Saccharomyces cerevisiae S288C: one gene and its partner. Changing the gene in region 1 together with any one later gene gives a genetic interaction. Each region holds a gene or a part of one and is shown on either strand. Other genes may lie near its edges.

Region 1 (3,379 bases):
CTAATGAGTTAAAGGAGAAACATCAAGTCGCTCTAAAAGCCCAGGCCCAAGCCCAAGCTCAAGCCCAATCTCAAGCTCAAACATCAATTGAAGCACTAACGCCAACTGAAGCAACAAACCAATCCGATACAAATGAATATAAAGCAACAGGAACTCCGAATTTGAGGGACATCGAAGATATGGCACTATATAGTGTAAACTACGGAGACTCTCCAGTGAGATCTCCACCACCTGTTGTAAGCTCTCAGCCACAAATGAACTCACCATTATCCTCACATTCACAAACTTTCGGAGAGAATAATGGCACGAATGACAAATTACTACAAGAACGCGAATTGCAACTCCGTAAAAAGGAATTAGAGCTACAAGAACGTGAACTGGAGTTCCAGAAAAGAGCATTACAGCAACAAAGATTTAATAATAGCAATAATTCAATTCCAAGAAAGCCTTCCTTCCCTCAATTACAGCAGTCTGCAAACGTTCGTTCTAACAGCAGAGGAATGCATGGCACCAATGGCGCTATGTCTCAACCTGCATCCGCCGGAAATTTTGTAGACCCAATTTCTTCAAGTATCGCTGCATATGACCCGCAACAACCTCCTTCCTTACCCCTACAGCAGCCACAACAATCGGTACAAGTACAACCTTTTCACTCACACTCTATCAAGCCCACAAGTAGGAAGAATAGAAATAGTAATATGCCTAATATTGGTAATCCTTCCAGTATAAATATGAGTGATTTTGGCAGACCACCGAACAATTCAAGTCAAACTCGCTTAAATTCCATGCCAACGCATAGCATCGTAAACCAGAATAGATTGAGATCACAACAATCGAAAAACAAACTGAATATGCCACATGCCACCAACCCAAACAATACTTTTAACCAAGTCCCTGCTCCTAGTTTAAACAATCACGTTCCCACACAAAGGCAATTTAGCTCCAGTACCATGATAGAAGTTACAAATAATAACAACAAAGTTAATAACAGTAGTAGCAACCCTGATATTTCCACCAACTCGGTAGTTCATAACGCAATGCAATTTACAAATACAAACAACAATACAAGTAGCACTGTGGATATAAACGATCCCAAAAATATTGCACCCCCTCCTACAACCTCTGTTTCAGCCCCAAGCACTCCAACCTTGTCCTCATCAAGTCAAATGGCGAATATGGCTTCGCCTAGTACCGATAATGGTGACAATGAGGAGAAAAATGGTGGTAAGAAGAAGAGATTTGGCCTATTCAAAAAAAAAAATAAATCAAAGAAATAATATCCTTCGACAGCTTAATGAACACGCATGTAAATGTTTTGTAAACAGTTTGTTTTTTCGTTTTTGTATCTGTTAATTTTCTATTATTTATTTTTTTAGTTTTTTTTTGCGGTAGAATTGGGTTATCACTGAATCTATTTTATTTTTTGGGTTGGTTTCTCCCTGTTTTCAGTTTGTTTGAATTGGTGTTTAACAAAATCTGGAATTATTCACTATAATTATTTCCTCTTTTTAGTTTGACCAAATAAACTCAACTATCTTGTGTTATTTCTTTGTATTATAGCTTTACACATATTTAACTATCCATACCTTTTACTTTTTGTATATACTGTTAATTTCATAAAACACGTTTTAGTACCAGAAAATCGTGTCATAGCACCGTTTTAGCAGTGATTTTTAAAATTGTCCAAGGTGCCAATAAATACTGGTGGGAACAACATTTTAATTAGAATAGCTAAAACCTTCTAAGAAAACTATCCCAGCGTAGAAAGAAAGAAATCTCTATCAGCCGCGCAAGTGCAGTATCTCTTATTTTTGCACGGCCCCGTCGCTATATTGTCACACGCATTTGAATTAGTGACTCAATAATAATACAGATTTGTGACGTATAAAGAAACCACAGAAAAACTGCGTATGTCCGAAGCACAGGTCCACTAGTAATAGAGCCCAAAAATCTGACATGAAGAAAACAATTTACAAAGTCCTCGTAAGTTTTTATCAATATGTCGGTTTAGGTAAAAAGTTCCATCCTAGCCACGATACAGTATTAATTATTGGCGGTTCTTCAAATGAGTTAGGCATCGAGCTCTGCGAGACATTTATAGAAGATTATCATACAAAGGTTATAAATATTGACACTATAGACAGTATTAATGGAAAAAACGCAAGGAGAAGTGAAAAACTGTATACTTTTATTTCTTGCAAAGATTTCAGTGACATAAAATGTCTTGAGGAATCCATGCTTTACCTTCAAAATTTAGAAATAATTCCTACAGTGCTCATTAACAACATGCAGGAGGGAATCGAATCGACTCTTCTCAAAGAAGACAAATTTTTGAGACTTGATGAAGAGTCTTTAAATGAATTCGAGAAAATCGTGAGGTATAATTTACAAAGTGTAATATTGATAACTAAGTTCTGCTTGAGTAACATTTTTCCAAAGGTTCAAGCTGAAGCTCAAGAAAAAGCAAAGGGGTTCTATATTGTCAACATATCATCGGTATTGACGTTAAAACCGTGCAAATCAGGAACACATTTTATTACATCGAAATGTGGTATAAACTCTTTCCACGATGGAATAACCTCAGAGCTTAAATTGAAAGATAGTAATTTGAATGTAAAAACGCTGATTGCATATTTACCCAGTTTTGAAAGTGAAGCACATTGGAAGAGACTTTCCCCGAGTATCTCGAAACATCTCGTCCACTGTCTACTTGAGGGAAGATATGGTGATACAATTCTCGAAAGCAAAAGATCAATTGGTGATATTCTTTTGATAACTGGTTTCAAAAGCTCTTTTACTTAAGGGTACTACAAATCGAAGTAACAGTGATAAAATTGCTAAGCACATATATTTCTATAAATAATTCAAGGAAAAGAAAGGTAACACTACAATTTTTATGATGATAAATAATTTGAATAAACCGGCCAGAATAGGCCAAAAAATTTTTTTTAAGTCTAACGAGATTCTCCTCCAAGGCAATAAGAATCAATAAGTCTTAGTACTGATGGTAGCTCCAATACAGGCACATTGAACCACTCTGTATGCCTCTTTTTTCCAGTTGGATCACACCCATAACAGTAAACCAATCCTTTCCCGTATTTCTTCCATAAAAATTTATGAATAGCGCTTTCGATATCTGGTAGTTTCATTGAACCTTTTCCGCTAATGAAAAATCCACCATCTTTATAAGTGCGTAGGGTTGGCACCTTAGGATCTGGAAGGGAAGGCTTGTGTGAGTGACTTTTATCTTTGATGAAAAGTTTCTCCATTTTTTTTTGTAAGCTTGATAATGAAATGGGCAATAGCCTGTTTGAACTGATATTTTTGCTTTCACTTTTCAATTTCAAGTGGTATAATTTATCGACTTTCTCTGGAGTCA
Region 2 (4,627 bases), on another chromosome or scaffold:
GACTTCTCTATGGGACGAATCCATTTAGATAGAAAATATCAGGCAAACAAGAACTCAAACAGGAACGATATAATGAAGTCCGGTGCAAATCCACTAGAATTTTATGCAAGACCAAGAATACTTTCAAGATATGTGACCTCCACGGGAAGAATCCAACATAGGGATATCACAGGCTTATCGGCAAAGAATCAAAGAAGACTATCGAAAGCCATTAGACGGTGCCAGGCAATAGGATTAATGTGAACTGTACTACACTAATGCTTCTCCACATGAAATAATTAAGAAAATAAGGCATTTCATAGTTCTGTCTGTAAATATACAATATGTAAAAAGAATCGCAATTAGATCTTAAGTTAAACTTATATTCATTCTTATATTTCTTTAATATACCCGTTTTATTCGCTTACTCGAATTTGGATTATGGTAATGATATTCACGCCAGAGGAATAAGCTGAAATTGACGAATAACTTTTCAAATAATTTTATTACTTCTATTATACAACTTTATAAATATCTAAGCTGCCATTTACTTAATAAGACGGGTTAATTGTTTACGCTTCATCTTCCTGACCATCTTCATCACATGATTTGACATCCCACTTCATTTTGACATCCCATCTACTAGATTTAGCGCTCCAGCTGACGTACTTAACAAACTCCAAAACACTTTCATCTCTCAAGACCAAATTGAAAGTATTCCAAGCAGGTGGATCATTAATCAATACTGAATCACCACTGTCATCCGCACGATAAACAGAAGCGTCTTCAACGTCTTCCTTTAAGTATTGCTTATTATCTTCGTCGTCGTCCATCATGTACAATTCGTAACCACCAAGCTCTCCGGATTCCCAACCGGCAGAAGGTGTCAAGCACAAAGTACCTTCCAAGACAGCATCGATTATATCTGGATTGCTTTTCAAAAGTTCATTAAAGCGACATTTGGTGGCCAATGTGAAATCCATTCCTGGCCTAAACCTTCTAATAAGGATTTGCTCACTGACTGGGCACAAAGAAGTTAGAAGAGCTAGGTATTTCTTGAAAATTGTGCTCTTGTGAAATACAGCTAGGTCAATCAACGCTAATTCTGCATCAAAATTGTTTTCCCTACTATTTCCGGAAGCATCGGAGATAATTTTAATTGCGTCCTTAGTAAACTGAAAGTTTGGCAAATCATTGTTATTCAGCGCCTCAAGAATATCAGCTTCTGTTTGGAAATTACGGTATTCCTTACCGTCGATGTACAAATAACGGGCTTTGTGTGGAGGAATAGCCGTTTTCCACGGAGCTTTCACATCTTTTGAATGATAAGGACATTCCTGTTCCAACTCTTTTTGTTTGATAACCTTCTTTAACAATTCTGATTTATCGTCATTTAAAAACGACTCAATTTGTAGAGAAGAGTTCTCAACAAACTGCTTTTGTAGTTTTTCGATACCTTTCGAGCTTAAATGTTCAGGAGAGATGTATTGAGATAGATAGGTGAACTCGGCTTCAGACAACTTAACCGAATCAGAAATCACACTAGTCATAGATTCTTTAGGTGTGTTATCAGTTTTTGCGCCAGCATCGCCCTTGAGCATTTTTTCAAAGTGCTTCACTTCATGAAATGATAAAATATTTCTCTCGTCCTTTGGAAATTCAAAATCTTCTAGGACATTAGATTCAATCTGCGCCAAAGTGGATGTGTTGTTACGGACCCACGCTTCTTCTTCACCAGGTATGTAACCTTCTTCGCCAACTTGTGGAATATGGTACCATCCTTGAATAGATAATCTGTGCTTATCAACTTTGACTTCTTCGACATCGTGGAAAGAGAAACCCGGTAAAACTTTGAAAAAAGCAATTTGATTGAACTGTGGAACTAGTTTAGCAGATGGATCGGAATGTGGAACGTTTGGTAAAATACTTGGAAAAAGTCTTAGACCACCACCATAATGCGATTTCCATTTTCTGTCGGGATCTGGTAGGTATAAAATGAAACTAATCCTTCTAGAGCCAATAACGTCATCATGAGTCAACAAGTGACATCCCTTTGTGTAAGTGTTGATGCTCATGTCGGTCTTAGAACCAGACAATTTACCAGCTTTGGTGACGTAGCCAAAAAAATCTCGATATTGCTTGGAATACAGAATCTGGCGCAGCTTGAACAAATTAGGCAAACGGGACAAGTCATCCCAGTCCAGACCAGACAAATTGGCCAAGTCACCACTTTGGTTGACTCTATAGATATCGGTTTCTTTTTTAGTGAAATGGATCTCAGTTTCTATTTCTTTACGAACAGCACGTAGAAGATCGTCATTAACCAATTCATGAATAGTACCCCAGTTGTAAGGCTGAGAGTCTTCAATTTCCTTTTTCAAGCCATCCTGGAAAGTCTTGTCCCAGATTTTAGGGTTGAACATACCCTTTATCTTGTCCTCTTCGAGGGAAATTTGTTTGGAATTTCTCTCCTTCTCACCTTTAACTTCAGCAGTTTTTCTCTTCATTATATTCCCGGTATATTTGGTGATCTTAATTAAAAAATGTAAAAATAAAAAGAAAGAGTGCTAAAGAATGACACAAGAAAACAGTTGGCTCTTCGTGTTGTAAACGGAAGAGAACGGCTTCCAAGTGATGACTTGATTAATATATAAGCGAATTTTTTTTTTTTTTCACTTTTACCTAAGAAGTTTATCCGATGGAATGGTCCGAAAAAAGAAGATGCAACTATTACGCACATAAAGTAGGTGTAAGATCGCCCGATACAAACAATAAATAAGCAAATACTCATTTTATTGCATACTTCGGAAACTTTATGCCTGATGTAAAAGAATCCAAGCAATTCATAGGATCTCTCATTGCATCAGCTTGTTATCATACCGTAAAGACATCTCACCTCAGAGTGGGCTTATGTTTTAGTTATAGCGTTTTATATACAAGCTATAAACTCTCCTCTTATAGTCCCATGTGGGTTGAAGAAAAGAAAAGAAAAGAAAAATCTTCTACCAAAAAAGAAATGCTATTGATATTAAGGAAGTAAATTACATGATCTAATTGAAGTCCAACCATGCAAAGTATCGGTCGAAAATTAGGAATATCATCTAATAATATCTTTTCCAAATTAAAGGCGGCCACCTCTCTATAAGATATAACCATACGAATTTCCTGACGTGAGAAGGAAAAAATTACTGGAAAGTTCTTTCTTACATGCAATGACCAGTTAGGCCAGGTTTTAGTGTTTTCTTCCTTGCAATGGTTCTACGACCAGCCTGTCAAATGTGTACATCTGAGAAATAACAGACTGTCTTTTCAAGACACCTAAGTCGTTCTTAGCTTCCTTAAATAGGTTCATTAACACTTTTGGGTCTTGCTGATTCATGTTCTTTCTGAAAGTAGTCCTTGTTTTACTTAAAAAGTATTCCCTGAAGTTGTAATTATTGAATTGATTAGCATTCTTGATGAATTCCTTGTATAAAGACAACACCTGCCTTCTTGTTGGAGCTGTAAATCCAGGCATTTCTCTTCTTTCAAAAGGTGATTCCAAGTTCCCTATACTGCAGATAAAAATGGGAATAAAACTGCTATCCAAACTTCACTTGTTACCTTAGGCTCCGTAAAGTTACTGTGTAATTATATCAATTCCTCAATCATTTTTCTCCGCCGCTTATAAATGAATGAGAATAAATAGACTGCTATTACCCGGAAAGCGGGTGTTTCTCCAATAAATGCATTGTTTAATAATAAGTGGGTAATACAATATTGTTTGGATTTGATGGAAATAGCTATTGCTTTATCTACTTTACTGTGGACATTTGGGAACTAAAAAAACCTCTTTAACCAATATATTCAGCATATATTATGTAAAAATGAATAAAAAAGGTCCTACCCGGATTCGAACCGGGGTTGTCCGGATCAAAACCGAAAGTGATAACCACTACACTATAGGACCAGTACAACTGTAAATTGTTGTATCTCAAAATGAGATACGTCAGTATGACAATACGTCATCCTAAACGTTCATAAAACACAGATGAAACAACCTTATAACAAAACGAACAACATGAGATAAAACCCGGCCTTCCCTAGCTGAACTACCCAAACGTATAAATGCCTGAACAATTAGTTTAGATCCGAGATTCCGCGCTTCCACCACTTAATATGATTCATATTTTATATAATATATAAGATAAGTAACATTCCGTGAATTAATCTGATAAACTGTTTTGACAACTGGTTACTTCCCTAAGACTGTTTATATTAGGATTGTCAAGACACTCCGGTATTACTCGAGCCCGTAATACAACATAAATTTAGCCGTAAAAAAATCAACTAACCCTACAGTAAACTAAACGTAGTACTTTGACACCGATAAACAGGTGAAATATTGAAAAATCGGCAAAAAAATACATAATTATTAGCACTTTACTGTTATTGAACATTATGATATCAGGTATACAAGATATTAGGTATACAAGGTATACCTGAGAAACTGGTGAATAATTCGATAATTGTTGGCATTCCATTGTTGGGAGAGGCTATTATATCATGTATACAGAATATAGTAGAAGTTCTCCCCAAGAATATAGGAATCCTCAAAATGAAATCGATATCTCTACATAGTGATACAACGATTATTCCTCATTCCGTT

The links.
Region 2: mutations in SRL4 (region 1) and TPA1 together harm fitness more than expected from each alone (negative genetic interaction), as found in Saccharomyces cerevisiae (2 studies listed by BioGRID).

The regions. Positions count from the first base shown.
Region 1 is NC_001148.4:486,785-490,163, reverse strand, and holds SRL4 (Srl4p), read left to right. Parts: upstream 1-1,956; coding exon 1,957-2,802; downstream 2,803-3,379. Other genes in the region: SVL3 (Svl3p), read left to right, coding at 1-1,277; YPL034W (uncharacterized protein), read right to left, coding at 2,955-3,379. UniProt on the Saccharomyces cerevisiae protein: May be involved in the regulation of dNTP production. Induces the SOS system when expressed in E.coli, therefore, it may play a role in DNA metabolism and/or in genome stability.
Region 2 is NC_001137.3:249,587-254,213, reverse strand, and holds TPA1 (oxidative DNA demethylase), read right to left. Parts: upstream 2,487-4,627; coding exon 552-2,486; downstream 1-551. Other genes in the region: mitochondrial 37S ribosomal protein bS18m RSM18, read left to right, coding at 1-243; ISD11 (Isd11p), read right to left, coding at 3,212-3,496. UniProt on the Saccharomyces cerevisiae protein: Prolyl 3,4-dihydroxylase that catalyzes 3,4-dihydroxylation of 'Pro-64' of small ribosomal subunit uS12 (RPS23A and RPS23B), thereby regulating protein translation termination efficiency.